2 linked regions of the Sus scrofa genome follow. The protein of the gene in region 2 interacts with the protein of the main gene of each other region in a pairwise test. Links are inferred from orthologs where the notes say so. Each region holds a gene or a part of one and is shown on either strand. Other genes may lie near its edges. The genes, in order: TSR2 and ZBTB9.

Evidence for each region.
Region 1: the proteins of ZBTB9 (region 2) and TSR2 interact in binary tests that used the Homo sapiens proteins (3 or more experiments, as listed by UniProt). The two-hybrid records come from large-scale screens. The link is inferred for Sus scrofa from reciprocal best matches to the Homo sapiens genes ZBTB9 and TSR2.

Annotation. Positions count from the first base shown.
Region 1 is NC_010461.5:47,178,997-47,194,896, reverse strand, and holds TSR2 (pre-rRNA-processing protein TSR2 homolog), read right to left. Parts: upstream 8,288-15,900; 5' UTR 7,811-8,287; coding exon 7,727-7,810; intron 7,561-7,726; coding exon 7,470-7,560; intron 4,696-7,469; coding exon 4,604-4,695; intron 4,111-4,603; coding exon 3,934-4,110; intron 3,414-3,933; coding exon 3,291-3,413; 3' UTR 2,432-3,290; downstream 1-2,431. Other genes in the region: FGD1 (FYVE, RhoGEF and PH domain-containing protein 1), read left to right, coding at 942-1,085, 1,581-1,886. UniProt on the Homo sapiens protein: May be involved in 20S pre-rRNA processing.
Region 2 is NC_010449.5:29,747,516-29,763,415, reverse strand, and holds ZBTB9 (zinc finger and BTB domain-containing protein 9), read right to left. Parts: upstream 8,688-15,900; 5' UTR 8,252-8,687; coding exon 6,845-8,251; 3' UTR 5,848-6,844; downstream 1-5,847. UniProt on the Homo sapiens protein: May be involved in transcriptional regulation.

The sequences.
Region 1 (15,900 bases), on a different chromosome or scaffold from region 2:
TTTTATTTAAGGGCTTTAAACATTTAACCTTCATAGTAACTTATCTATCAATGCTATTACTATCCGTCTTACCAATGAGGAAACTGCCCAGGTGGTTATTCGCCCAAGTTACACCATCAGTGAGTAGCAAAACTGGGATTTTTTTTTTAAACAAATTACCTTTTCTTATTAAAAGTAGGATATGTGCACTGAAGAAAGTTAGACAGTATAAACCAAAATAATTTAAATTCCTTCAACCCAGAGATTTGCCACCATTAACACTTATGCTTCCTATCTTTCTACGTATGCGCACATACATACACTTTTGCTTTTGTTTTTTAGCTAAATTGAGGTATTTATTTTATTCACTTAAAGAATGCTTACTCTGTGCCAGGCACTCTTCTAAACACTTTACATATATAGTAATTCATTTAATCCTTATGACAGCCCTATATGCTTTCCTTCCAAGTCAATATATGTCCACCTAGGTCTGGGACTCTGAGGCAGACTGCCTTACCCACCCAACCCCTTCACCATAACCCAACCCCTTAACCACAATGCTAGGTTGCTTCTCGCTAAGTATAGGGAATAGATGGGCTGAAAGATGAAAAAAAAAAAAAAAAGATGAAGTGTAAATAACAGAAATAACTTTAGGAATAACTGGACTGATGGAAAAATGCTTGATTGGCATTTAGGTGCCCCTGCTGAGAGCTATTCACCCCTCCTACCAACCCTGCTTCTAAGGAAGCAGCCATGGCCTGAGTCCAGCAGACAAGCCTGACTTTGCATCTCAACTCTGATTCACTGGGTAACAATGGGCAGATCACTCCTGTCACCTAAGCTTCAGTATCCTCCTCTGAGACATGGGAATAGAAATCCCTGTGCTGAGGGGGTGTTGAGGCCAAGAGGAGGCAGGCTAGGCTTCCTATCAACATTGATGCCACCCATGTCTCTGGACACAGAAACAGGCCTCAGTGGCTGCGGAGAACAGCGTCATCTGCAGCTTCCTGTACTACATGGAGAAGGGCGGGAAAGGCTGGCACAAGGCATGGTTTGTGGTCCCTGAGAACGAACCCTTGGTGCTGTACATCTACGGAGCCCCTCAGGTGTGCATCCTACTCCTTTGGGTCCTTTCAGCCATCTGGCAAAACCAGGCTGCTCTCCTTGGCCTTGGAGGATAGGGTAAACCTAAGGGGAAATCAGAATCCCTACCCTTGTGAGACAAAGATTGGCTACGGACAAGGAGTGGGTCAACATTTATAGGGAAAAATGGGGTGAGTTGGGGGGGCGGTTAGCTTCCTGGAGAAAGCTGGAATAGAGACAGGGCACTGCTTGGTCCAATTTGGAGTGAAGAATATGCACATGGGGGCAATAGCCCAAAGGCCTGAAAGCATTATGAGACTAACCCAGCTGGTTTGGGGTGTGGTAGGAAACAGGTATTTGAACCAACCTGCGTTGTAGCCCCAGTTCAGACATTTTCCTGTTCTCAGTGAAGCCACAGAAGGTTCTAGAGCAGAGGAAGGAAAAGAGGTTTAACAGATGCAAACAAAACCAGTGAGCCTAGCCCCAAGGTGATCCCTGACTCTGTCCCTGTTCCTCAGGATGTGAAAGCCCAGCGCAGCCTGCCCCTCATTGGCTTTGAGGTGGGGCCTCCTGAGGCTGGGGAACGGCCTGACAGAAGGCATGTCTTCAAGATCACCCAGAGCCACCTGAGCTGGTACTTCAGTCCTGAGACAGAGGAGCTGCAGCGACGATGGATGGCTGTGCTTGGCCGGGCAGGCCGTGGGGACACGTTCTGCCCAGGGCCTACATTGTCTGAGGACAGGGAGATGGAAGAGGCACCGGTGGCAGCTTCAGGAGCCACTGCTGAACCCTCTGAAGCCCCCCAGACCCGAGACAAGACCTAGAGGGTTTGTGGGTAACTGGGGTCCCAGCCCCCTCCCTCCCAGCTCAGTCAATACTTGAACTCCCATCATGGGCACTTTCAATCCTGAATGCTGGGTCTTGGGCTTTTTAATTCATCTTTTCACAAAACCTGGGCTTTTAAAAAAGTATTCCTACAGTGATGTTAATTTTTTTTTAAACCCTGTCCCCAGGGAGTGTGGGAGCTGTTGCTAGACCTGCCTGAATTAGGCCATTTTTCCCCAACCCCTCAATACCCTACAGATCCTGCCTCCACCCAATTCCCCCCAAAGCACCGGAGGCAGGAGATCTGGATTCAAGTGCCAGCTCTGCCACTGACCCCATGGTCCTGGCCCACCCCTGCCCCTCAACCAGTATCTTCACACATGTGATGCTAAGCGGGGTGGTGACCAGACCTCTCCTGCCTCTCCCATAGCTTTTAGCTTCTACCCGGCCCCAAGGCTACCCAGTATTTTATGGTCCAGACCCATGGCAGGGCCACCGGGCAGGACAGGGGAAAGGGGGAGGGGGGAGGACAATGAATACTCTGTTTTGTTTTTTTAAAGAAAAATACAGTTTATTTCAAGCTTACAGAAACTTTCAGAACACTGCTGTGCTCCATTCGTCTGTTTGTCCAAAGTACCAGGCTGCTAGAGTGGGCCCAGAAACTGCTCCCTTGCTGAGCTCTAAAGCTCAGCTCTCAGAAAGCTGATTCCAAGGCTACTCACAAGTCAAGCCACAAATTAAACAGTAAGGTATTATTCATTGAGGTCTTAGGCCTCATCCCGGGACTTAGATGGGATAAGGAGTTCAGAAAGAGGTTGGAAGAGACAGAAAACAAAGCCTGGGTCCCCCAAGCTCGTTGCCTTGTCAAGGTCATCCTGAAGGAACTCAGGGCTGGACACTGGGCTGCAGGAAGGGAGTGTTCCTGGGAGGTTCCAATTTCTGGGCAGTGGTACAGAGGTGCCCTGTAGGACTGGGGGATGAGAAGAGGGAGAGGTACCACAGCTACTTTCATTCACATCCTGACCCAGCAGGAATATTGGTTCTCCCTGGTCCTCTCCCTTTACAATCCACTTGCCTGCCATGAACCAGCATTTAGCTTCTCCAGTCAGTCCCACACCTCTCATCCCTTCTTCTTCACCCTGACTGCACCCAAGAGGCACTTTGCTGGGAAAGCATCCCTCATCACTCAGACAGTAACTCCAGGCCCTGGTGAACCAGATCCCACCAGCCCAAGACCAAGGACCCTAGGGCTCTTCTCCCCCTGGAAGAAGCTGTACAGGGGAATGGGGAGAGGGTGGAGATGAGGAAACCAGTCCAGAGGTCCATAACCCTCCAAAACACCCCCCTACACACAAGTCCCAAAACAACTAGCAAATAAGGACCCAAACCATTTCTGGCCCCACTCATTTCTTTCTCCGGACAATAGTCCAGCCATCCTCTACTATATCCTCTTCCTTAATAGTCTGGGAGTCTGGTGGCTGGGGGCAGACCCCATCTGTAACTGCCCCATCATTCATAGCTGCAACCTAGAAGAGAAATAAAGGAGAGAGCTTAATACAACACCTCCCTGGAGTTCCCATCGTGGCTCAGCGGAAATGAATCTGACTAGCATCCACGAGGATGTAGGTTAGATCCCTGGCCCCATTCAGTGGGTTAAGGATCTGGTGTTGCCATGAGCTGTGGTGTAGGTCACAGACGCGGTTCGGTTCCTGCGTTGCTGCAGCTGTGGTGTAGGCCAGTGGCTAGAGCTCCCATTTGACCCCTAGCCTGGGAACCTCCATAATGCCATGGCCATGGCCCTAAAAAGACCGAAAAAAAAAAAAAAAAAAAAAACCAAAAACCCCACAACATCTCCAAGCTGTGGCCGACGGAAACCCAGGTTCTCCTCCCAGCTCTGCCAGGACTGTCTATATGACCTTAGGAAAGTTTCCTGCCCTCTCTGGATGATACAACCACCACCACCCAATCACTCCCCTGGGGAACTAGGTGATCTGCCAGAAAACTGAAAATATCTGCATCTCCCCACCCAAGAGGCATCCCTCTCACCTCCATCTCCTCCACGCTGTTTGCATCATCCTCATCTTCATCAGTCTCTCTGGCTGTAGTTAGTGCAGTGGCTCTAACTTTGCACTTTCTTTGTGTGATGAAAGAGGCCATTTCCTTCAGAGCAGCCCTATCACCCCTCTGGAGGTGGCGGAACATGGTCTGTAGCTGCTGGCTCACCTACCGAGAAAACATTCAACCAGCTTGGATTTTCTAAAGAACCTACAATACAACCAGCCTGTGTTTGCGACAAGAGTGGGGAGGAAGAGAATGAGGCTCTTTCCTCCCCAAAGAGTTCACTAATGAAGCAACCACATATGAAGGGCTCAGTAACTGCCTGAAGCATTGAAGGAGGGCCCCCTAACGGGGAAGGCCCTAGAACTGGGTTTAAAAGATGAAAATGTAAACACAGAAGGCAATCCTTTGATGCAGGTGCATGGATGTTAACCAAAACATGTCAGGCATGTACCTGGCCTGGGAAAGGATTTGAAAAGCAAGATTTGAAAGGCCAGGGAAAACTAGACTTTTCTTTAGGCAACAAGGAATCATAGAAAGTTCTTGCACAGGACTCAAGAAAAGAATGGTTACAGCCAAGAGGGTTGGTTTAAAACAGACAGTTGGGGAAGAAAGGCTGCAGGCAGGGAAATGGCAACTGTACCCAAGATATGCTCACCTGGGGCAGACTCCCATCTTCCACAACCGTATCAAACTCATTCGTCATGAGCTCCCCGAGGAAGTCCTCCACCTCCTCTAGCTCCAAGTCAGCTAAGTAGGAAAGGATAAGGCTCTCTGATCAAAGACCAGCCAACTTTATCACACTTGCCCAATACTCTTCAATACATACCTAGTGGATCCACATCTGCTTGGTTAGTAAAGGTTCAAAAGTAAGCCTTTTATTTGCTGAAGTACTCTACATTCCAGATTTTAACATGATTTTAAAAAAGAAAAAACAAAACACCAAATAAAACACTTGATTTCCAATCTCCTGCATCCGACCAAGCCTTCTCTTCCACACTCACCCTCTTTCATCTGGCCTATTTTAACCAGCCTTCCCTCTACGTGACCTTGAGCATGTTACTTATTCATCTTCAAGCCTTGGTTTTCTCCACTACAAAGTGAGACTAATGGTAACCTCATTGAAAGTCTGTTATAGGGAGTCACCCAAAAAATGCCTAATGCAGGGAAGACCCATAATCCATGTTAATTTCCATCACACAAGGGCTGAAGTTTTTGAAATCTAGAAATTATTCACGATTGTGGCTTCGCCAAACAGGAGGCCAGAGACCAATGGGTTAGGTAAGAAGAGATGGACGTTGAGTACTTCAAGATGAAATCATCACAGCCTTGGCACCAACATGCTATCATGTGACTTTGGCAGAGCCCTCCTCTCTCGGCTTCAGTCACGTTATGGTCCTATACTCTACTTTTTCTGAATTATAGAATAACTCAAGAAAGTCTTCCACAAAGCTCCTTGCTCTCTCTTCCCTCTGGGAGAGCTCCATTCGCCTCCTTGGCTTTCCCTACCACTCGAATATCCCCCAAATTTGTCTCCAATCCACACTACTCTCCACCTATTTAGAGGGTGCCTCAGACCCTCCTTTCCCAAAGCCAGATTCATCACCTTACCTTCCAAACCTACTTCTCAATCCTCCAGGGTTCTCCTATTCCATAAAAGGTATCTGAGCCACGCAACGACTCAAACCAGAAACCTGCCTCATGCCCCCCCCCACTCCTCTACAGCCAAACAATTTCCAAGATTCTAATCCACCCCTTCTTTTCCGTAACTATTGCCACTGCCTCATCATCTTCAAGACAGAAACAGTCTTCTCATCAGTTGTTCCCTCTCCAGTCCAAGCTCCATACTGACTACTTTTTTTTTTTTTTTTTTTTGTCTTTTTGCCTTTTCTTGGGCCGCTCCCACGGCATATGGAGGTTCCCAGGCTAGGGGTCGAATCGGAGCTGTAAACACTGGCCTACGCCAGAGCCACAGCAACTCGGGATCCGAGCTGTGTCTGCAACCTACACCACAGCTCACGGCAACGCCGGATTGTTAACCCACTGAGCAAGGGCAGGGACCGAACCCGCAACCTCATGGTTCCTAGTCGGATTTGTTAACCACTGCGCCACGACGGGAACCCCATACTGGCTACTTTCTATAGCCAGTAAACCCCATCCTATTAAATCCTGCTCATGAAGTTTTATCTCCTACTGCAGTGTTTCATATTCTGCTTATAAGACGTAACTGTCCTGCTGGACTTTAAGGGAAGCTATTCATAGAAAAATCATGGTAAACAAGTTTCTTTTTGGTGGTTCTTATCAGAACCTTTAATATGATAATGATTATGGTGACTCTTAAGAGCTGAAGAGCTTTTTTTATATCATGTGACTGGAGAAGTGGTTTCTTCACTGAACACCTAAAAAGAACTAGTCTTCCATAGCATATATTTTTGACAAATGCTGGCCTAAAGGATAAAATCAAAGGCCCACAAATCCTTCCATGTTTCACCCTTTTCCAGGGGCCTCCCCAACCAACCTCCAGCCTCATTCTCTATCACTCCCCCCTCCCACACCCCCACAAGCACACCATACAGCCCTACTCTAACACTGAGCTCCCTGCCACTTTCCAAATATAACACATAATCTCCTCATACCACAGAACTTATTTTTGAGTGTTGCTCTGCCTCTCCCACCTAGTTAACTCCTTCTCATCCCTTAAAACTCACCCAAAAGCCACCTTACCCTAACAATCTCCAAAAGAAGCCTCTTCCTCAGTCTCACATTACCCAAGCACCCTGAGATCTTTATTAGAACACCTACCACCCTGTGAGTAAAAACCTATTTACTTATCTAGATCCCTCACCAAATAATAAATTTTTTTCAGAGAAAGGTCTCTGCCTAATGCCATCTCCAAGGCCAAGAAAACTAAGTGAATAATTTAAAAAAAATCATACTTCACAAAAGATCACCTAAAGGGCCCCTATTCTTATAGAACCTACAAGACACATCAAAGGTGTAGATCTCTGCTGTCCAAATAATCAAATGTGGTTACTGAGCACTTAAAATGTGGCTAGGCCAAGACAAATTGGGATGTGATAAAACTGCAAAACACCCACCAGATTTTGAAAACTTAATACTAAAAAAAAATGTAATACATCTCGTTAATAATGTTTTATATTGATTACATGTTGAAATACTTTGGATATATTGAGTTGAACAATATTCATTTCACCTGCTTTTTATATCAAAGTGGTTGCTGAAAAATTTTTAATTACATGATGTGACTGGCATTATATTTCGATTTGGACAGCGCTGGTGGATACTTTCATATCCATGTTACAAATTAGGAAACTGAGTCTCAGGGGAGTAAAACGACATATCCAACGCGATACAAGGAGTCAATGGCATGGCCCTAAGGCACTCGAACTCAGGATTCAGACTCTGGTATCAGCAGACAATTGTTCAAGAGGAAGTGCAGATTCACCAAGACCGCCCTCCTCCCCGCGCCCCTAAACAAGTCCTAGGGCCTTAAATTCACTCACCATTGCGGAAGAAATACTCCTCCACTGCACCCCCTAGCCACTCAGCCTTCTCCTGGCTATGCACACCTCCAAAGCCGTTCTCCACAGCGATCTGCGAACACAGGCCCGAGCCCACCACGTCAGCCCAGGAACCGGCCTGCGGTGGCGCAAGGGTCCGCTTCTGACGCCGCCCAACCAACTAAGCCTTGGGCAGCTCACCGGCCAACTCCTGTTCTGGCCCGGTCCCTAACCTTTGTTCCAGCTGTGTCCTCGCTCACCTGCAAGGCGGGCCAAGCCTCCAACGCTGCGCGGATGCCAGCCCGGAAAAGCGTTAGAGACTCCTCTGCAGCGCCCGCCATCATCCTGCTGCGGACCACGTGACGCCCAAGCAGGCCAATCCCTGCGCAGCACCGCCCAGGCAGAAGGAGTAGGAAGCCAAGCTTGAGAACGCAGATTCTCCCTTTCCGCTGATCTGGCAGCAAGACTAGAGCAATAGAAAAGTCTGTCGAGTAATCGATGACACCGCCCGGGTTACTCAAGAAGTGGAAGACGCTTGGGGCCGAGAGTTCCGGACCCGTGGGTATTGCGCAGAAAAGATGTGAGGAACTTATTAAAGATAAAGGACAGAGGAAGCAACCTCAGGTAGCATAGCCTAAAAGTCTGCATTTAGAAATGCATCCTAGGAGTTCCATCTGTGGCTCAGCGGGTTAAGACCCCGACTCATCTCCATGAGGATGCGGCTTCAAGCCCTGGCTTCGCTCAGTGGGTTAAAGGATCTGGCGTTGCCGTGAGCTAAGGTGTAGGTCTCAGGCACAGTTTGGATACGGCGTTGCAGCTGCAACTCCAATTCGACCCCTAGCGGGGGAACCTCCATATGGTGTAGGTGTGGCCCTAAAAAATAAATTAATTGATTGATTAAATAAAATAAAAAAGAAATAAATAACAGAAAGACATTTGTGAAATTCACAAATAGGTGGGAATTAGTACACTTCTAAATAACTAATGGGTCAAAGAAAAAAAAATCGGAAGACGTCTTGAAATGACTTGAAACTAAAGCAGGGCAAGGACCAAAATTATGATCAGTGCTCAGGGTGAATCCACACTTTGAAGGGCCTGAGGCAGATAGAATTTTGTAAGCCCTCTTTAAGAAAAATAGTACAAATTTAGGTGTGCAAGTAAGTATAGCTTTAGATTTATAAAAGAAATTTTTAAATTTACAAATTCCAATTTTTTTTGGGGGGGGGAACATGCCTGTGACATGTGTTAGTTCCCAGGCTAGGGATCCAGCTGGCACCACAGCAGTAACCAGAGCCACAGCATTAACAATGCTGATCCTTAACCCACTGAGCCACTAGGGAATTCCTACAAATTCCAATTAAAAAAACCTGACAAATACCACAAACATCCTCAAAACTAGAGAAATAAAATAATTGCCTGACTCACCTCTCTACTAATTTTTCCTTTATTTTTTATTTTATTATTTTTTTTTGGCTGCCAACATTTTGATATCTTCCTGTAAATAAATAGGACAATTATTTTATAATAACATTTTCAAGAGAGAATAAAAAGAATTCAATTGCATTCAGTTGATCAAAATTTTTTATTATTGTAGTTTAGAAAAGTTTCAACTTCACAGCTCATTGTTAGTAGAATAAAATTTAAGATTGTGTTAAATTTGGGGAAACCTCTAGTTTCTTTTACATGTGAGCTATAAAATTTTATGGTACTTTGTTTTTGTGCAGCAATAATTGTCTCAAATTGACAATGCTCAACAACCAGGGGCTTGGAAGTGTCTTGTGTAAGTGTGAGTTACTAGAGGCTTAAACTTTTAGTTATATTATTTCTGTGATAAATCCATCTCTATGCAATGCTAGAGGAGAAAGGAGCACAGGAAGCTATGGGAGTCCAGCAGAGGGGGTTTCTGATCCAGCCTTGGGAATTATGGCAAATCTCTCAGAGATAATGCCTCTGACTTAAAAGTTTGAGTGGAATTTTCCCAGGGGATGAGGAGTTTGTGTATTTGAGGATAGAGGTATGTTTCTAAAAGAAAGAAAGTCTTTCATGCTGAGGAAACAATCTATACAAAGAAAAAGAATCAGGAAACAACATGCTGTTTGATGATAATTACAAGCATTCCCAGACTGATAATCTCAGGAGGCATAAACTCCTACAGAGCTCTAGAGATTCATTCCTGCAGACTCAGCAATTTAAATTTGAGTTCAAAGAAGCCCAAATAAAGAAACTGAGATTAAGCACTTCCCTGTGAGTTCCCAGGGCCTCAAACATACCTGGAGTAGGGAAGATTCTTATCACCAGTTGTAGGGTATATGTGTTGAGTTTTCCCACACCACCAAGCGATTCTTCAGTATCAACTGGGTGTCCTACAATTTAACTCAATTTTGATACTGAAACAGAAGGGAAGGGGGAAGGGCACGAACTTTAAAAAAAAATGACAGAGCTGTTGAGGATACACAAAAACTGGTTAGAACCAATCAGGTCCAAGATGGTGGAAGATTCAATTTCCATTAGACCTTGAGCCTCATTATGCACTCATTGTAATACATTAACAATCCCCTCCTTTGGGTTTGATTAACTTGGCTAGGTTCGCTCACAGAACTCAAAGATTACTAGATTATCTGTTTATTATAAAAGGATATAATTCAGGAACAGCCAGATGGAAGATATCCATAGGGCACAGTACATGAGAAGAGGCAAGGATGCTTCCTCTGAGCGTACCACTCTCATGGCATCTTTTTGTGTTCATCAACCCAGGAGCTCTCAAAACCTGTTCTTTTGAGGTTTTATGGAGGCTTTGGTAAAGAGGCATGATTGATTAGGCCATTGGCTATTGGTGACTGAACTCAAACTCTAGCCTCTCTCCCCTCCTCTAGGTGGAGGGGTGGAAATGAAAACGCCAACCCTCTAATCTTTTATTTAGCTCCACAGACAACCAGCCCTCACCCTTAGGTTACCTAGGGGAATTCCGAAGGTCATTTTATTAACATAACAAAAGACATCTCTTATCACTCAGAGGAAATTCTGGAGATTTTAGGAGCTCTGTGCCAGGAAGTGATTGAAGACACAATGTATATTACTTACTATAAATCACAATATCACAGTAGACCTGCTAGAAATTCCCACACATGGAACCCAATTCTGAGTTCCAACAAACCAAGGTCTCTGAAAGAACCCTGAGAATTAGCCTTGAGACTGAAGTCCAAAGTTGAGTATACCAAGTGACAGACTTCACATTTTCTGTGCCTTGAACCCATCTAGCAAGCTGGTGAAGCCAATATATTTCTTCCTGGAATAATGTTTTTAAACGCATAAAATAAAATATAGAATTACAGAAGGAAACCAATTATATTAAAATAGTTACCAAAATATTATAAAAATTAATCGTAACATAGGTTTCTTTTCTTTTTTTGGTCTTTTTGCCATTTCTTGGGCCGCTCCCGCAGCATATGGAGGTTCCCAGGCTAGGGGTAGAATCAGAGCTGTAGCTGCTGGCCTAAGTCAGAGCCACAGCAACACGGGATCGGAGCTGAGTCTGCAACGTACACCACAGCTCACGGCAACGTCAGATCCTAAACCCATTGAGCAAGGCCAGGGATCGAACCGCAACCTCATGGTTCCTAGTCGGAATCGTTAACCACTGAGCCACAATGGGAACTCCTAGGTTTCTTTATCAATGCATTAAATATTATGATCTACTAACAAGTTAAATGACTACTATGATTTCAAATTAATTATGAATGTAAACAATATTTTAAGAGCTCTGATAGGAAAAATATCTGTACATTGGTGACAAAGTCTTTTGTACTGCCAGTACTACTGTGGTTGGTTGCCTACATACATGATTTTTTTTTTTTGTCTTTTGTCTTTTTAGGGTTGCACCAGCAGCATATGGACGTTCTCAGGCTAGGGATCCAACCAGAGCTGCAGCCGCCAGCCTACGCCACAGCCACAGCAACACAGGATCGGAGCCCCATCTTAGACCTACCCCACAACTCACAGCGACACTGGATCCTTAACCCACTGAGCGAGGCCAGGGATGGAACCTGAGTCCTCATTGGTACTAGCCGGGTTCATTAACCACTGAACCACAGTGGGAACTCCTCTACATACATTATTGAAAGAAATGCCAAGCTTCAGTGGAGGGTAGTGAAAATAAGATACATTTTTTTTTTAGCATCCAAATGCTCAGACACTAAATTCTATGCATGACACTTTATAAATCCATAAATGCCAGGTTAAATACAGCTAATCTAGACCCTACTCTTGAGGGACTACTTCAGTTAGTTTAAGCCTTCAGAGTAAGATGAGCAGATTAATATGTCGGAGACTGAACTCTCAAAACCTAAATCAAAACTTAATCCCCAGCATGAGACCTCAGACTGAGCTCCAGACAAGTGTGGACTGAACTGCCAAACTGAACTGCTAAAGTGTAAATGCAGAGAGTGCCTCTGGATGAATATTTTCAGACTAGGACCCAGCTTGGGTTCTAAGACAGAGCCAACCAGACAGAGATCCCCAGATAAGATCATCACATCAAGAAACCCCAGGCATGACTCCTCAGGCTAAAATACACCGGATTTAGCCCCCAGTATCTGAGCCTCCCAAAGCTAGCCAGACGCAGCCACCTAGACTGAGTCTTGAGCCTGGCACTCACTTGGAGAGAGTTTCAGCCATATCATAGATGAAAACTGAAGCTTCCATATTGAATCCTCAAGTGTCTCAAGAGTGAACTGTCAGCATTAAACCCTCAAAGTCAGATTCCCCATACTGAGCCTCCAGGCAGAGTCATAGGACTAAGACACCAAACGTAGCTCCTTGAAGGAGAATGGGGGTGATATCTTGGAAGTGGGCCCAGGCTGAGCTCCCAGAAAGAGCCCTCACACACTGAGGCCAAAGATACACCCACCACTGAAAGTATGGACTGATCCCAAACAGATTCCCTCAGACTGAAAACCCAATGTCTGAGCCCCCAAATAACATGCCCAGAATGAGCCCTAGAGTGAGTCCCCAGAGAGAGCCACCAGCATGCACCGCATAGTAGCCATGATAATATATCTCATAGACTTTAAACCTCAGGGAGCATAAGTGATCAAGAACCCCTGTTGCTGTGTTCTGGAATCCATCCCTTCATTTGTACGGAGACCATGCTTCTTGCAAGTTACTCCCAGCTAATGACTGAGTATGGCAAGGATACTTTGGTGACTTTGGTACAAGGAATTGCAGAGAGCCTTGCCAAACCTCCCTTGTACTGCACAAAAGTCTAGAACACCTTCGCTCAACGTTCCCTCCTTCTCTCTTTCATTTGGGTTAGACTGCAATATGTTCTAATGGCTCTCCCAGCCTTCCATGGCACCCACCCCATTTGATCTCATGGACATTTCCCCTGACAAAATTGTTATTCACTTAATCCCATCTTAAGTCTGCTTTCCAGAACTAGCACAAGCTCCCAGGCATGAGACTGTGAGGTTAATTGCTCCAGGCTGAGCTTCCAATATTGAGAACCACAACTTCCACTTTTAGAATGAGCATACAGATTGAGATCAGGAGACAACATGCTTCCAGATGAACTTCCAAGTTCTCAGCCTTAAACTAATACCCTAGTCTGAGTACTCAGGCATGTATGGAAGAGGGAGCAACCCAAGTGGACCCCAGTGGCTGCCAGATAAAACTCCTGCCCTGAAAACTTTAGGCTAATGTTAGCAGAATTAACTGTCAAGACTGAGCCCCCAGGCTGAGTCCTAGAATGAGCTCTTCTTAACAGACCCACCCCTCATGAGAAAGCTCCCACACTGAGCCCCTAGATTGAGGTACCAATGCCTGAACTTTCAAAACATGTGCCAAAATGAAGTGACCAATAAGGGATTAATCTCCAAAATATACAAACATGTCATTCAGTTTTATATCAAAAAACCAAACAACCCAACTAAAAAATTTTCAGGTGATCTAAACATTTCCCCAAAAGAAGAGAGAAGGCCAAAAATACAAAAAAAAAATGTGAAAAATTCTCAACATCACTAATTATTAGAAAAATGCAAATCAAAATTACAATGAGGTATCATCTCACACCAGTCAGAATGGCCTTTACAAGCAATAAATGCTGGAGATGGTATGGAGAAAAGAGAAACCTCCTATACTGTTGGGAATGTAAGCTAGTGCAACTATTGTGGAGAACAGTATGGAAGTTCCCTAAAAAACTAAATATAGAACTACCATATGATTCAGCAATCCCCATTCCTGGGCATATATCCAGAGAAAACCATAATTTGAAGAGATACATGCACCCCAATATTCATTGCAGCACTGTTTACAGTGGCCAAGACATGGAAGCAAACTAAATGTCTGTCACGGAGGAATGGATCAAGAAGATGTGGTACATATACACAGTGGAATATTGTTCAGCTATAAAGAAGCATGAAATGATGTCACTTGAAGCAACATGGATGGACCTAGAGGTTACTATGCTGAGTGGAGTGAGCTGGACAGAGAAAGACAAATATCATATAAAATCACTAATGTGTGGAATCTAATAGAAATGATACAGCAGAACTTAGAAAACATAAACAGACTCGAGTTTCTAAACCAAATTTGTGTTTGCCAGAGGGGAAACTTGTGGGAGAGGGATAAATTAGGGGAGTTGGGATTTATATATACATGCTACTATATATAAAATTGACAAGTAACAAGGACCTACTGTATAGCATGGGTAAATTTACTCAATACTGTGTAATAACTTATATGGGAAAAAGAGTCTAAAAAGGAATGGATATATGTATGCGTTTAACTGATTTACTTTGCTGTACACCTGAAATTAACACAGCTTTTTGGGTTAACTGTATTCCAATACAAATTTTTTTAAAGAAAATTTTAAAAAAAGACATGTACCAAAAATGAATCCCTGGACAAGTATCCAGAGTGGGAGGTCCTAACAATCCAGACCGAGGACCCTACTCTGAATCCCAAAAATGATGACTGAAGGCTAATCCCCAAAATTGAGCTGGTTTGCTTAGATTGAACCTCCAAAATCTGGGTCCACAAATCCAAGCCCAAAATGAAGCACCAGAGGCTCTGACAGACCTTGACTGAGACCTCCAGAATCAGGCTCTTAGACTGAACTCTCATATTGAAATACTAGAATGATCCCCCAGTCTGAGAACCTCCAGACTGAGCCCCTATGAAAGGAATATCAAGAATGGGATTCTGTAGACTGAACTTACTAGACTGCCTGCATAGACTGAGAAATTGAACTGAATCCTTTAGATAAAATTCCTGCTCTGAAAACTTTAGGCTAATGTTAGAAAAATTAACTGCCAAGGCTGAGCCCCCAGGCTGAGAATCCTAGAATGATCTCCTCTTAACGAACTCATCCACCCCACAAGGAAGCTCCTACACTGAGCCCCTAGACTGAGCTACCAATGTCTGAAATTTTAAGGCATGTGCTTGAAAGACCAAGCTTCTAAGACAAGGTCCCCTAACTGCGCTCATGAAACTGATTCCCCAGAATGAACTTCTAATCTTGCCTAAATTCATACCCTCAGAATCAGTACTCAAAATTGCATCCACAGTATCAGAGGCTCAGACTGAGTATCCCAGGCTGAGACACCTTTGTAGCAAGATTGCTAGCTTCACATTCCAATTTACAATCTCCCTTTCCTCCTTTGGAACAAACCCTTATTTTTAGAGTGGGCATAAGTCCAGCTAAAAGACTATGTTTCCCAGTCTTCCTTGCAACTGAGTACAGCCATGTGATATACCCTTAGGACATGAAATTTATTTATTTCTCTATTTTTGACAATAGTTGTCTTAACATCTGTGAACTGATACCTCAATATGGGTTTGATTTGCTTTTCCTAACAATTAGTGACATTGAATATCTTTTCATAAGCTTCTTGGCCAACTGTCTATTGCTTATTTATTTATTTTTTAGGGCCGCACCCACAGCATATGAAGGTTCCCAGGCTAGGGGTCAAATTGGAGCTACAGCTGCTGGCGTACACCACAGCCACAGCAACGCAGGATCTGAACCACGTCTGTGACCTATACCACAGCTCACGGCAACGCCAGATCTTTGACCCAATGAGCGAAGCCAGGGATCAAACCTGCAACCTCATGGTTCCTAGTTGGATTCTTTTCCGCTGAACCATGACGGGAGCTCCTATTGCGTTTCTTTTTTTTTTTTTTTTTCTTTTTAGGGCTGCACCTGTGGCATATGGAATTTCCCGGGCTAGTGTTCGAATTAGAGCTAGAGCTGCCAGCCTACACCACAGCCACAGCAAAACAGGATCTGAGAGACATCTGCCACCTACACCGCAGCTTGCAGCAGCTTAACCCACTAAGCAAAGCTGGGGATTGAACCCGCATCCTCATGTATACTAGTCAGGTTCTTAACCTCATGAGTCACAATAGGAACTCCAGCCAAGAGATTTAAATGGAAAAG
Region 2 (15,900 bases):
CTCACGGCAACGCCGGATCCTTAACCCACTGAGCAAGGCCAGGGATCGAACCCGCAACCTCATGGTTTCTAGTCGGATTCGTTAACCACTGCGCCACGACGGGAACTCCAGAATTTTCTTCATTTTTAAGGCTAACATTCCATTGTATGAACATATCCTATTTTGATATACATATACTAATCGGTGGATACACTGTGGGTGTGGTATCATTTCTTACAAGGCAAAAAATTACAAGGCAAAACAGAGCTTGTGGGCAAAACATACACGGCAGCAGAGTCATTAAAGTGGTTTGAGTCACGGGTAAGGTCAAGAACAGTAAGCGAGTTCTCCATATTCCCTCACAGGTTTGCAAGATACATTTGCTGAGCTGAAATTACACTTTCAGCAATGTTTTCAGACCTCAGTGCAAGTACAAAGTAAATTTCTGTGTTTCTTTTTTTCTTTTTGGCCACACACAAGGCATATGGAAGTTCCTGGGCTGGGGATCCAGCCTGCACTGCCACAGAAGGCTCTCCCTGTGTTTCATTTAATTGTGCAATTGAGGAGCTTCCACCTAACCTTCCACTGGATGTGATTAACCTACAATGTAATGACGTGATAAAAGGCAAGTGTCAAGAGACTATAAATCACAGAATTCTATAAATGCCTTTCAAGTGATGAATATGCACAATTAAAATCATATGCTCTTGGATTGATGTCAGTATTTGGCAGTATCTGAGTGAAGCCATTTTCAAAAATGAAGTTATAAAATCTCATTATAGATCAGTACTAACAGATGAACGTTTACAATTGATTTTAGATAGGAAGCACTAACTTTGAGCCCCAATTAAGCAGCAGACATATACAGAAATTATACTTATTATACTTGATTATTATATTTTGCATTTTGTCAATTAATTCAAGCTGTGGAAATTTTGTTTTCCTTAATTTTTATGTACTTATATAATATCCCTGATGTTGTTTCTTGGCATGCAAATCCTAGCATTTACTCTCTGAACTTTTTTTTTTTTTTTTTTTTGGCTGTGCCTGTGGCATGCAGAAGTTCCAGGCCAGGGACTGAACCTCAGCTACAGTGGTAACAACGCCTGGATCTTTAACCTGCTGAGCCACCAGGGAACTCCAACTATGTGAACCTTTATAGTTTGCCAACCCCTGGTCAAGCACACCCAGCTACCCACTGGATAGCTTCTGGTCATTCAAATAGAATCTTGACCCACTCCCAAGTTCTATGCCTGTCTCCCACTCATTAAAAAGCCTCTAACTCAACTGCTCAAGCCAAACTCTGGAATCGTCCTTGATTTGTCACTTTCCCACAAAATTTAAAAGTTGTTTTTTGGGGTTTTTTTTGCTTTGCTTTTTAGGGCCAAATCCACAGCATGTGGCAGTTCCCAGGCTAGGGGTCGAATTGGAGCTGTAGCTGTCGGCCTACACCACAGCCACAGCAACGCTGGATCCCAGCCACATCTGTGACCTACACCATGGCTCACGACAACGCTAGAATCTTAAACCACCAAACAAGGCCAGAGATTGAACCTGCATCCTCGTGATACTAGTCGGATTCATTTCCACTGCGCCACAATGGAAACGCCTACTTTAAACTTACTGGCTTCTCATTGCATTTAAAATAAAATCAAGGGAGTTTCCTGGTGGCTCAGTAGGTTAAGAATCTGGCGTTGTCACCACTGTGGCAAGGGCTCGATCCCTGGCCTAGTAACTTCTGCACGCCCCAGATGCAGCCAAAAAAAAAAAAAAAAAAAAAGAGAGAGAGAGAGAGAGAGAACATGCATAGAACAAAATCCAAATTCCTTGTCACAATCTGCAAGCCCAGCCCCAACCTGCCTCTTTTTTTTCTTTTTTTTTTGTCTTTTCAGGGCCGCACTTGCAGCATATGGAGGTTCCCAGGCTAGGGGTCGAATCAGAGCTGAAGCTGCCTGCCTACACCACAGCCACAGCAACGTGGGATCTGAGCCACGTCTGTGACCTACACCACCGCTCACGGCAACACCAGATCCTTAACCCACTGAGTGAGGCCAGGGATTGATTCTGGGCCCTCATGGATGCTAGGCATGTTTGTTACCGCGAGCCACCACAGGAACTCCCCAGCCTGCCTCTTTAATCACACCTGCAATGAACAATGTATGTGTCCCCCAAAATCATATGTCGACATCCTAATCACCAAGGTGATGGTATGAGGAGGTGGGTTTGGGTGATTAGGCAGGAAGGTGAACACCTCACGAATGGGATTAGTGCCCTCATAAGAGAGCTGGAGCGCCCCTTTCTCTTTGCATGTGTTAAGATACAGGGAGACGAGACATCTAAGAACTAGGAAGCAGGTCCTCATGACACTGGGTCTTCTGGTGCTTGATCTTGGAATTTCCAGCCTCCAGAACCGTGAGAAACTTCTACTGTCTACAGGCCACCCAGACTGTGGCATCCTGCTGGAGATGCTGGGATGGACCAAGACAACATCCTGTTCCTCTCTGGGTCCATGGGTGCCCTCATCAAACACCTTTCTCTCTCTCGGCCTTTACATCTGCTGAACACATTACCAGAATCATTTTCTTTGCCCAGCTTTGCATGTCTGCTCTTTCTTTTCCTTTGAATCCTAGATCAGCGCCTCCCTTTTCTGTTACTCTCCACCTTATTGCCTTGCTTACTTCCTTTCCCATCTGACTTATCTACAAAGAAGCTGCATAGCTGGTTTAAACATCCTTCTCTTAAAGTGCAATCCAGAGTTGCCAGCCCCTGTGATCCATCTGCTTCTCTCATAGTGACTGGTACACAGCAGATACTTACTGACAAAGGAACAAAAAGAGGGAAGACATCCAAGTGGGTCTGGGGATCAGGAAAACTGGACATGGAAATCTAAGCATCATCTGCAATGAAATAGTTTAGCTATTTAACTATTAACACGATGAGTTCCCGTCGTGGCGCAGTAGTTAACGAATCCGACTAGGAACCATGAGGTTGTGGGTTCGATCCCTGGCCTTGCTCAGTGGGTTAAGGATCCAGCGTTACCGTGAGCTGTGGTGTGGGTCTCGCAGATGCAGCTCGGATCCCGAGTTGCTGTGGCTCTGGCGTAGGCTGGCAGCTGCAGCTCCAATTGGACCCCTAGCCTGGGAACCTCCATATGCCGTGGGAGCAGCCCAAGAAATGGCAAAAAGATCAACAAAAAAAAAAAAAAGAAAGAAATGGTTTAACTCAGGAAAGTGGATAAAAACCACCTAGAGGTGTATAAAGTTAGAAGACAGTAAAAAGAGCCCTGAAAACCACTAGCATTTATGAGAAATGTAATAATTAAAATAACATCTATTTCTTCCTGAGTGCTGAATGCCTCATTTCCTCTTTAGTTGAAATTTTTTTTTTTTTCCCCTGGGGCCACTCCCACGGCATATGGAGGTTCCCAGGCTAGGGGTCGAATCGCAGCTATTGCTGCTGGCCTACGCCAGAGCCACAGCAACACGGGATCCGAGCCGCATCTGCAACCTACACCACAGCTCACGGCAACGCCAGATCGTTAACCCACTGAGCAAGGCCAGGGATCGAAACAGCAACCTCATGGTTCCTAGTCGGATTCGTTAACCACTGTGCCACGACGGGAACTCAGAGTTAAACTATTTCAATACAGATGACGCTTAGTTTTCCATGTCCAGTTTTCCTGACCCCCAGACCCACTGCGCCATGACGGGAACTCCCCGAAAATATTTTCCCTTTATGTGACCCCCTCCCTGAAAGAAATGATTCCTAAAAAGGTGTGGAGAACTAATGTTTTTCTCATAGTAGCTGCTGACGTTTACTGAATAGACTGAGTGCAAGATACTGTTCTCAGCATTTCACGTGTTAATTCTCGCAAAGCCTATGAGCATATTAAATGCTTATGAGAAACTACACAGACAGAGGGTGAAGATTTGGACACAGAGGATGATTACCAGCAGAGGCCCTAGGCAGGGGACTAGCCTTACAGGACAAGGGACATCTCTTCCACAATAAGGAGGAAAGGAGAGGTAGAGAGGCACACGCTTAAATTTGTTTAAACCAAAATCCTGCATCATGGAACTTGATTTCCTATAATACCTAATAATTTAAATTTAAAAAAACCCACAAACTTCTGGAGTTCCCTACTTCTGCATCTACTGGTACAGCCAAAAAAACCCTCAAAAAACTCACAAAACTCCCAAACTTCTAACATAGTGTTTTAATTGGCTTTACAGAAGCAATAAAATGCTATGGGGATTAAGGAGAATTCTGCCCAATTCTGCCCTAAGTTTGGAGGGTAGAGGTGGAAGTTGGGCAGGTTTTTTTTTTTTCCCCATCTTCAGCCGCATCCAAGGCATGTGGAAGTTCCCAGGCAGGGGACTGAATCCCAGCCTTATCTGGGATCTAGGCCACAGCTATGACAACGCCAGATCCTTAACCCACTGTGCTGGGCCAGGGATTGAACCAGCAACGCCAGAGACAAGCCAGATCATTAATCCACTGCACCACAGCAAGAGCTCCAGGTTTGGTATTACCTGAACACTTAATAAGTGCCAGGTGTATTTGAGGCTTTACATATCCCAAGATGGGCAATATATGGAGACTGTATGGGTGGGTTTCTGTTCCTGTGGGCTGGCCAGCACACTCTTCTGTCCCTGAACTTCAGTCCCTTGAGGAGTTCAAGATTTGGTGTCTCAGTGGAACTTATGATCAAGGTGCTCTGCCCAGAGAGTGGACCTGAGGCTGAGTTCTCTCCTGGGAAGTTTTATCTTGAGATGAGTGACAAAGAAATGACCGACAGGGTCATCGTCCCAAAACATACGACCTGAAGACTCCCCCAGGAGTTCCTGCTCGAACCCCTGGATGACTCAGGTCTTATTCTTCCAAAGATTGGTCTTCAAGCCATTCCTCCCACTTTGGGTGCACCCCACATGCTTCCAATTCCTGTTTTGATAAGGCTAGTCAGCCATTGCTTGCAACCCAAGGATCCTGGCCCCTGGATGTAGTCACCTGCAGAACGTGTGCCAAGATGACAGGTGGGTGGCAGTGCAGCAGACCCAAGATTGGCAGCCCTCATCCCCAACCCCTCTCTCAATGCAGTCAGTCCTCACCACGGGGATGGTCCCACAGCAGGGCTCCTCAGAACCGCTGACAGATCCCAGCCAGAATTCACCTTCTCAGCCATGAAGTCACATTTTTTTAACCCCTCTAGGTTCCATACCTAAGAACTTTTGAGGACCACGATTAAAGGCCATCACTCCTGGCTCTACGGTGACTTCAACTACTGTTGACCAGTTCCGCCACCCACACCCATCACCATATTCTGGCAGTGGAGTTCTCTGTGAACCCTCTGGTGAGCCCGAGCAGGTCTCTGCTCGGTCTGCTCTGGACCACCACAGTGGCTTGTGCTCTATCTGTCTAGCTGTGCTACTGAGAAGGGAGTAGAACTCAGGGTCCAGTGCAGCGTCGCGCACGAAATGTGAACAAACCAGACAATAACCAAACCACAGACATCATGCACGAAGTCAGGGGACATTGGGCAGAGATATGCGAACCCACCCCTTTAAAAAAAAAAGACAGAGGACCAGTTAGGAGGTACCTACCACCCCGCCAAAATTTTTTTTTCAATTAATGAACTAATTAAACAGTTCAGACTCTGCAAAATAAGGCAACTTACCAGAGGCTATTCAGTGGCAGGTCAGGGTAGAGAATCTGGCCCACTCAAGTTCAGGACAGTGTTCTCTGCACCAGCCTGACACCATCCCATTCTTCCCCTGGCAACATGACCCAGCTGCATAAGGAATACATCCAAGTCCTTGCAGCTCTGTTCTCACTGTCTCTCCCACATAAATGACTCAATTCAGTTCACTGTCAGCTTTGATTTCAGGGCAAAGTTTATTTGAAGAAATTAAGACACCTACACCAATCTCCCCACTCCAATATCTACCCTTCTACCTGTCCACCAAGGGCTGTCGCGTGTGGGTGGGACGGAAGGAGAGGGGCTATGGTCCCGCTGTGCAATTATTCTCTAGTTTTCAGCATGCGCCATCTCAGCCCTGAGTCCCTCTGACCGTGACCACTTGTTCAGAGCAGTGGTGCAACCCCTGAGATGGTCAGGGGCCACCCCCTGAGTCCCCTGGTCACATTCCAGTCACCGTGATCACCTGAGTGATCAGGGGGGTCAAAGGCAGAGAAGAGGCACAGACTGTAGAGGGAGTGCCCTCCACTAAAGACTGTTCTAAGTGACCCGCAGAATGCTCGACTGGTTAAAGTGCTCAACTACAACGTACAGAGACAGGTGTTGGAAAAGTTCCTACTGGTGAGAACACAATTGAGGATCTAAAGAGCTCATGGAAAGATACGACAAAAGGAGGATATCAAAAGAACTCTACTCACATAATTGCCGCAATGATGAGGGAGGAGAGCTTAGCACTTAGTCTCTGAATTACCAGGACTCTGAATCAAATGTATCTCTGGATGGAGACCAGCTCCTTTAACTCAAAAGAGCGTGAATGAAACATTTACCATTACGGTTTTCTGCTCTAACTCTTCTCTCATCAGATCAACTACTTTGAAATACGATTTCCTGCATGAAACCATAGCATGGACAAGTGATCAATTTACGAATGGCTATAAGCCATTTTCCTGTAGGATAGTCAGCAAGAACCCGGGCTGAGAGAAGGAACTGGAACTTCCAAATCTGCCAGGTTGACGCCCACACCCAAGACCATGAGGCTCATTAATTATCTACCCTTTGGGCATGATTAACGAGACCCCAGACTGGGGTGCCAGGGTAGTGAGGATAAGCAGGGGCTCCATCAGCAGCAGGGGCTCCCTTGTCCTGGGAGTCAGCACACAGCCTCAGCAGTCACTTGTACGTCCAGTGAGCAGTGGCCCAGCCCTGGCCCTTGCACAGGTCTCGGTGGCGAAGGAAACAGGCATGCACTCGGAACCGACGGCCGCAGTGGGGACAGGCGTGCAAGGCTCCTGCGTGGGTCTTCATGTGCTCCGTCAGATGGTGCTTCAGCTTGAAGCGCTTGTTGCAGACGCCACAGCCAAAGGGCCGAAGGCTGAAGGTCAGCATGATGTGCCGGTCACGCTTCGGCTTCACCGCAAACCGCTTCCCACACAAACAGCCAAAGCGCTTTCCATCTGCAGGCGGTGCCCCCCCCAGCTTCACAGGCCCATGCACAGCCTGCCCTGCTCCCCCAGGGCCCGCACCCCCCGACAGGATTTCATTCCCATGAAGATCCACCGGCTTCCAGGATGGACCTCCTCCTCCCGATGTTGACCCTGCGCCTGAGGGCAGCAAGAAGCCCAGCTCCCCGTTCCCTTCCACGTCCCCTGCAGGAAGCACTCCGGTCTCTTCCTTCGATCCTCCAGATTGCGTTCCGCCTCCTACTATCTCCTCCTTGGGCTCAAAGGGTTCCTGCTTAATGTAGAATATCTTGGGGGGCAGCGCAGTGTGAGGGGCAGGAGGCTCCAGCAGAGCGCTGTCACCCTCTGGAAGCCTGCGTGGAGTACTGGATGTGGGCAGCGTGTGGGATCCAGGAGGGCGGGGAAAGCTCCCTGATGCTCTTGGAGGCTGCGGAGTCTGAGAGGATGCTGCCGACCTCTGGCCCTCCTCTTCCTCCTCTTCTTCCTCCTCCTCCTCTTCCTCCACTTGAATCTGCAACACCTCTCCCAGTTCACTGCCGTCCCCTACGACGGGGCTCTCAGTAGAAGCCGAAGCCTGCGCTGGGGTCTGGAAAGAGGAAGAGCGAATGCACCAGCCTCCTGGAGAGGCTGTGGTGGAAAGAAGTGCGTGGAAAGGGGTGGCTGCCCGGGCTGAAAGTCCACCACCTGAGTTCTCCAGTTCTTTAAGAATTTCTGAGCACTGATCTACTACCTGCCACATCTGGAGGCCACTGGCCACAAGCAGGTGGGCTGGGAGGGCATCCAGTGGCAGACGGAGGCGCCCTGAATAAATGAGCTGCAGCAGCCCCTCGAAGGCATCGGCTTCAATGACACTGGGCAGAGTGAGCCGTGGCGCATCCCCCAAAAGCAGCTTGTCATGGAAGTAAGGAGAGGCAGCCGCCAGCACTGCTTTGTGTGCCCGAAGCTCGCGGCCCTGAACCAGGAGGGACACGTCACAGAACTTCCCCTCCAGCCGGTGGCGGTTCAGGGCTTCCAGCAGCAAGGAGCTGTGCTGGGGGAACTCGATCTGGATCGTCCGCGGGGCAGGGTTGCAGGCGGGGGAGGGGGCCCCGGGAGGCACAGGCGTCGAGGCAGCCATGGCCTCGTGGGTAAGAGATCTCCGAGGGTCGCGTACAGGCGACGGGGCAGGCCGGCGCGGGACGGACGCTAGGAAGGAGAGAAGGGTCGCGGGAGCCGTGCTGGGGGCACCGCGTCTCCCCGAATGCCCCCGCACTGCCCCGCAGAGGAAGCCAAAACAGTCTCCACGCCAAAGCACCGACCGCGGCTTTAACCTCAAGGCCTGGGGGGGGATGAATCCTTCGGCCACGAGCCGGGATCGCCGGCCGGGTCGGCTCCCGCCCGCCGCTTCGCTCCCACTCGTGCGCTCAGACTGCCCGGCTCCCAGGCGGTCGCCGCCGGGGAGACCACGAGCGCCGGCCAAGTTCCCGCCGCCACGCCCCCGCCGCTACACACGCGGCCCCCGCGGCGTCCCGAGCGCCTCTACAGCCACCTCGCCGCCCCGACCGGAAGTCGCCGCCTCCCCGCCGGACGCCGACGCAGAGGGCGGGGCCGGAGCTGCAGCCAATCGGGGAGCGCCGATCTACAAGCCTCGCACTGATTGGTTGTACGGGAGAGGGCGATGAGGGTGGGAGACCGCGGCTTCCACCCGGACGGCAGGTCTGGAGGCCCAGCCGCAGAACGGCGCACCCCGACGGAGTGAGCGACCCGGGAGCCTTTCCGGTAATTAGATGTAGCGCCCCCCTCCGGCAGGTGCTGAGAGGGCGCGACCAAGTGGCACCCGCAGTATGGGCTAGGGAATGCTCCCCATCACCTTGTACCCTCGCCCCCGGCCACCTGCGAGATAGGTGTTGCCAATCCTGAGTCTCCTCGGGGGAAATCGCGAGCGGCGGGCCTGGGGTTGGAACCCAGATCCGCCAAGGAACCACAGTCTTTTCCCCATTACGCACGGGAGCATTCTAACCAGCAGTTAAATAAATTTCCCTTTCTAGGTGATTGTTTTGAGGTGTGCGTAAACATATACTTGGCATCTTTTATAAGGGAATGCTATGTTCCTTGACCTCTTTACTCGGGTTAAGTGGTGCAGTGGTGAGGGGAGATGGACTGGGTAAGCTGGGCCAGTGCAAAGCCCCCTCCCTCAGACAGTAAGTCTCCTCGCTGGTTGGGATAGGGATATCCTAGGGGAAGCCTGTGGCACCACGCAGGGACATAGAGTTGCTCCCAGGCTGTCAACATTCCCTTCAAAAAGCAGATCCTATCGCTCTGCTGGTCCTCCTAGAGGTCCCGGCCTAGGAAAGTCAGCGCAGCGATAAAAGAACAATCTCCGTTTATTAAACATGATTTTTGTTTCACCACACACTCCAGAAAAAAAGGAAATGGGGCTGGGAGTGGAGAAAAAGAGGCAGTGGTGGGGGATAGAGTAGTCTGGGGGTAGGGTGGGGTGGGGAGGGAGAACGAGAAAACAAAATAAAACAGGTAGGAAGAATATCTCCTACCCTTAGGGTGTGGGTGGGGAGGAAAGTCTGGGGGGCAGGGGGCCAGGAAGCTCTGTACAGAGGGGTCGCCCCCAGCCCACACACACACACCCCGGATATGTACAGTACAAACCCCAGATAATTACAACAGCCAAAGAGAAGAGGAAGGGGGAGTCCAGGGGTAGGATCTGAGGTTGGGAAAGCGAGGAAAGGGCACAGGGATAAAATTTCACATATTTACAACTTTTATATAAGTATAAATTTGGCCCCGGCTGGGTGTAGGTGTGTAGGGGATGGGACTGAAGGGGAACTGTCCATACAAAAGAAAGAAGAGTGGAGTCTGGGAAGAGTCTCAATACCAAACGCAAGAAGGGGTGAGGGACTAGGCTGGGGAGGGGGCGGCAGTCGGGGAAAAGGGGATGCCAAGGAGGGGCCTCTTCCCTCCTGTGACCTAGCCCCCCCAAACCCCATCCACCCTACCTCCCCTATCCCGCCAGAGAGCTATGTACAGAGAAACACCGAAAAATTGTGGAGCTGGCGGGAGGGAGGAGGAAGGGGATTGGGGAGGGGGGGGAGGATGAGAGGGAAGCCCAGCCCAGTCCTGCCTCCCCCCCGGGGACAGAGTCATGGAAGGGGGCCCCCAACACCCCTCCTCCAACACAGGTTCCCCCACCCTGGGGGAGAGAGACATGGCTTTTCCTAGAGTAAGTTCCCCCTCCCCCTGGGAGTAGAGACCAAGCAGAGAGGGGCAGGGGCAGGGGGGCTGTGTGTGCCAGGGGAGTTCTCCCCTACAGACACCCCCTCCCAAACCCTAACCCCTCACCCTAACCTCAACTGTGCCCCACCCAACACACTGGGGGAGGGGGGGGCATAAGCCCCCTCACCCCGCTCTGGGACCAGCCAAGAGCAGATCAGGTATGGGAAGAAGGGGAGACCACCCCCATTCCCCCCTGGCCGCCCCCTCCCTGCCCCGGTGGCCCCTCCACCCCATCTGGGTTCTGGGTGGGGAGGAAGTAAATTTGAGAGTGGGAAGAGGAGAAGGGGTTTGTGCGTGCTGAGCCCCCCCAGACGCTCCTGAGAAATCAAGGGGTAACAGGGCCCCCTCACCCGGGGTCCCCTCCCCATAACAAGGGGGACAGGGGAGGCCAAAATGGGGCGGTGGAGGGGAGTTAGATTGTCAGCTCTGGTTACTGCTAAAAAATCACCCTGAAGTTGAAAGTTTGGAGGTGCCACGCCCCCAGGGTGGGGCGAGGGTGTCCCCCAGTGCTCAGGGGACTATTGAGGCAGAGGATGGGGATAGCACCCCAGAGTGAAGGGGTCTGTATGGGGTAGGTGGTGTCCTGGGGGTCAAAGGGGCAGCACCCCAACAGGAAGGAAAAGGGGGCAGCCAAGGGTTCCTGCTCTCCCTCCTGGAGATGGTGCAGTGGGGGTGGGGCCAGGTGCCCCCAGGGGCCCTTCAGGGAGGCAATCCCGAGGTCCCTCGGCGACGTCCGGTCCTGGTGGTGGGTGCTGCTCCAGGGTGGGGTGCACGGGGAGCCTGTGATGCTGGGTGGGCTAGTGTTCTGCGGTGTTTCGGAACTCGCCGTTCTCGGTGATCTGCAGCCGGGGTGGGGGGGCGGGGCTGGGGGGGCCAGGCCGTTCCAAGGGGGTGCCAGCGTCACACGCGGGTTTGCTGGACCCAAGGGGGGAAGCTGCCTCTCCTGCAAGACACCAAAGAGTGGAGCGCGGACTTATTGAGACGCTTCGCGGGGGCCTGGGTGCCAGCCCCCTAGCAGTGGCTCCCCCACAGCCAACCCACTCCTTAAGCCACATCCACCCCGCCTCCCAGGACACCCCCACCCGCATCCTCCTAGTTTGTCCTCACCTGCAGAGCTGTTACATCTCCTGAGGCCGGGGAGAAGAGGCTCTCGCCCCTGACTCCTAACCAGGGCCTTCAACCCAGGGAGTCACACCAGGAAACCAGCAGGCTCCCATCTCACCCCCAACCTAAGCCTCGAAGCTTCTGACCTGAGGTGGGAACTTCGCGTCCAGGGAACAGGGGAGGCAGTTCAGCAAAACCTCATTAATCCAAACCCACGGGGTTTGGAATTCTTTCATAATTTGAACAAAAACTGGGCCTGAGTTTTCCTTCATCTGTGAAGAAAGGGTGTGCTAAGCAGATGAATGGTCGAAATGAGGCTGTGGGCGGAGCTGCTTCACCTCCACCAGAAGCAGACCTTTCAAGCCCAGCTACTGGTTCTGCAGGCTCCCCGCGGCCTCCTTCATCCAATTCTACTCACTGGATATGTTTTGAAGACATGCATTTCATTAAATAGACACTGTCACTCAGCCCCTCATTTATCCCAAGAGGCCATCTTCTCAAATGTAACGAAAGGCTGAACTGGACGGAGACAGGAGCTCAGGGCAGGGAGGTGGGAAGGGAATGACGTGGGTGTGTTGCTTCTGCTGGGAGCAGAACAGAAAGGACGGGACACAGCAGGCCCCGGTCCCTGCACCCCCAAGAAGCACAAGGCTCATGCCTCTCCACCTCCACGGTCCTTTCATCCCTCACCCGGGGCTCCCAGGCTGAGGGTGACGGTGCCAAACCGACTCCCAGCCCCAGCCCCATCTACCCCCTCCACCCTGGGGTAGCCGCCGGCTCCCACCCCCAGCTCTGGCTTCTGTTCTCTGCAGAGAGAGGGAGAGAAAACCGTGGATGGCTTCCACACTTCGGCTTTTAAAAATACAGGCACAAGATTAATTTTTACAGTAACCACTGAGTGGCCAAGGAACCACTACGTGACAGTGGTTTAGAAAAAGGGTCCTAATTATTTCCTGGGCCACAGAGCACTGAAGCCTGGCAGCCTAGCTGGGTTGGACCAAACGTCAAGAAGAGCAAAAACATTCCAACCAGAGGCTCCCCAGTCAGCTTGCCCTCCAAGTCAAAGAGCTCACCTCTCAGCAGGCCCCACAAGCCCAGACTGAAGCGGGCACCCTCTTGGCTTGCTGGTATCTCACACCGCCCCCCCCATGGGTGAGAGGAAGCTGCATGCGTGTGGCTATGGGGTGCCCCAAGTGTGGCAGCAGAGTGCGGGGTGGGGGGGACACCTCTCATTCCCTTCTCTCTGCCTGTCTGCTGGCAGTGGCACACAGGCATGCCCCCCACACCCCCAGGGACCCAGATTTAGAAAGGAGATAAATTAGGGTGCCATTATTCACTTAACAAAAGACTTCACTGCAGGAGTCCTTTAAATGGTGAGGTCCCCTGGTGTCTCATAGCATCTGTTTTCCAATCACTAACTACTCTGACAGAGAGGCTGGGCAGGCAGAGTTAAATTACAGTGCGAGGGGCCACTGCTCACTGCAGAGCAGGCCCACGGGAAAGAGAGCATCCCAGGACCAATATCAGTGGCTGACAGGTTCCGGTCCCTGGCTTTTTACGTGGGACTGTGTCCGGCAAGGCCACTGAAAGAGGTGGGTGAGGGACATCAGCAGGCCAGGGATGTGAGCACTTATTTAAGCTGCTATTCTGCCACCTCTGCCCAGGAATCAGCTGTCCAGCCATGGCCTCACCTAGGAGGACCCAGGCCCCACTGGCAGCTCCCAGGCCGCCTGCGCCAGCCCACACTAACATCCGCCAAGGTCCCTTTCTCACTTCTTCTTGCTCCACTCGCCCTGCCTACTGTCCCGGCAGCTGAACAGCATCCTGGCCAGGTCTCCAAAGCCACCCCAGATGAACTACCTGCTCCTAATTCACATCCAGTGGGGCCAAGGAGGGGCCCCGAGAAGCCTTCCACCTCGTGGTGTAAGGCAAGGACAGAGGTGAATGGGAAGGAAGGAAGGTTCCCTGAAGAGCTGAGGGGAGGGGGAGGAAGAGGAGACCCCCACCTACCTGCAGGCAGGTGTGCAGGCAGCAGAGCCCTCCAGCCAGGGCCCCTGCCCATTACCACCACCCCTTTAACAAACCCCCCCCCTTAACAAACCCACCCCAACGGCCCAGGCCCCAAGGACGCTTTGGTGAAATGGGGGGTGACAGACATACACTGGAGAGGAGGAGGAGGACTGAGAGTCAGAGGAGGCTGGGGCAGACTCCAAGGGCAGGGAGTGTGGCCTGGGGTGCTGGGACGGCGGGTGTCACTGCGCAGTGCTGGGGGCAGTGCCTAGGGAGGGGTCTGTGTGGTGTCAGAGGGTAGGGTCTGCGGAGGTTCCCGGTGTGAGGGCGACAGTGAAGGGGAGAGGCTCCGGAGAGTCAGAGGGGAGTGGGCTTCATGACCAACCTGCAGTGGTCCGGAGTCACCTCCCCCTGTGTCCTCCGCCCGTGGTCAAAGCGGAACCAGGAGAATTACCTGATGAGGAGCTGCAGGGGGAGAGAGTGGGGTCATGGGGTCAGGAGCCTTGGTGGCGTGGCGGGGAAGCCTGGAGGTCAGAGGAAAGAGGCACGTGGGTGGGCAAGTGGGCAGAACTGGGGGAGAACAAGGGGGAAGGGGGAGGGAGGTCCTCAAGGCTGGTGGGGGGGTGGAGGGGAGGCAGCAGGGGCCAGAGAGCTTGGCCAGTGTGAGGACAGAGGGAAGGAGGCCGAAGAAGCTGGACTGCACCACGGAGGGTGGAAGGGGTGCCCGGGGGAGCCCTCAGGATCTGAGGAGTTGGAGGAGGAAGCTAAGCAGAGCTGTCAGGAGTGAGAGGAGCTAGGGGCCAAGAGGACCCCAAGCGCCCAGGGTGCCAGCCAGAGCCTGAGCCTGGGGAGACTAGGCCTCGCACTGCCTGTGCCCCGTGCCAGCAAACTGCAGCCTCGGCCCTCTGGCCCCAGGAGAGCCCCAACTGGACCAGGAGCGGGCCCAGACGCGCAGGCTCCCAGGAAAGGGGCGGGCTCAGAGGGCAGAGACTGAGGTTCTGCTGGGAGGCCCTGAAACGCAGCTGGGGTGGGAAAGATCGGGTGGGGCTGACGCTGCTGGGAGTGACAAAGGCACAGACCGTGGGATGGAGATGGGGCCGCGGGTGGACAGACAGAGGACGACGGAGAGACAGATGGCCATGGGGCTGGGGTGGCAGTGCAGTGACAGCACAAAGGACAGTGGGATGGATGGGGATGGGACACGGAGAAGATAAATGACATTGTAATTTCCACCTGAGCGTCGAGCAGCCTCTTCTTGGGTTCGGGCAGCGGCTCAGCCATGGCAGGGTGGTCCCGGCGCAGCTCCTCCTCCACCAGCATCAGCCTGAAGGGACGGGCTTCAGTGGGGTTAGTGGCGGGCACGCCGGGAGCCTGCCTTTGCGGCTCCTGGTACCGAGAAGCCCCCGGCCGCCTCCTCCACGCAGTTCCCCAAAGACACCCTGCCATTCACCTTCCTCCAGGGACGCTTATGGCCCTGCTAGGGATGGGCTTCTGTGCCTCAAAGACCTCTCCTGCTGGACATTTGGGCACTCCTCGCCCCTATTAGGACCTTGCTCCCCACAAGCTGCTATGCCCCCCACCCCCAAGCCACCGAACCCAGCCCAGCCCATCTCCAGGGCAGCCCTGGATGCTCTCGCCAAGGGAAGTCTTTGCAGTCATCACTCTCAGTGTCTGCCTGTTTTTGAGCAACCCTTCTCATAAAGGCTGTCGGAGCAACGGTTTTCAAAAAAGTTTCAGGTCAAGCCTTTTTCTCATTAACATTACTCAAAAATACATTTTCTGTTTGGTTTTGCTTTTTAGAGCCACATCTGCAGCATACGGAAGTTCCCAGACTAGGTGTCTTTGGAGCCGCAGCCGCTGATCTACACCACGGCTCACAGCAACCCCAGATTCTTAACCCCTGATCCATACAGGGATGGAGCCTGTATCCACAAGAATACTTGTCGGGTCTGTAACCTGCTGAGCCGCCACGGGAACTCCCCAAATACATGTAGAATGGATAGAGATGGAGCTGGCGCTGGCTAGAGTGGGGCCCCTGGGTCCCACTCAGTTCTCAGGATACGGAGGTGTCCTTGTTGAGACGCCTCCTTTGGAGCCCAGGCCTCAGCAGAGCAGTTGAAATTGTGCGCAGGCTAAACCAAATGTATCCACTTTCTAATGGATCACTCTTTCAAGGTCAGAGAGGGAGGGTGTGCCCAGCGGGGGACCCCTGCTTAGGTTTGGCGAAAGCATCACAGGTTGGCTTGAGAACAACCAGTGGAGAGTCCCAGCCTAGGCCGGGTCCAGACACACAGTGACGGCTGGACAGTAAGGGGTACACTGTCCAAGGGCTTCAGACGTCACTCTATGGGAGAGAGGGCAGGGTTCAGCAAAGGGACGTTTAGT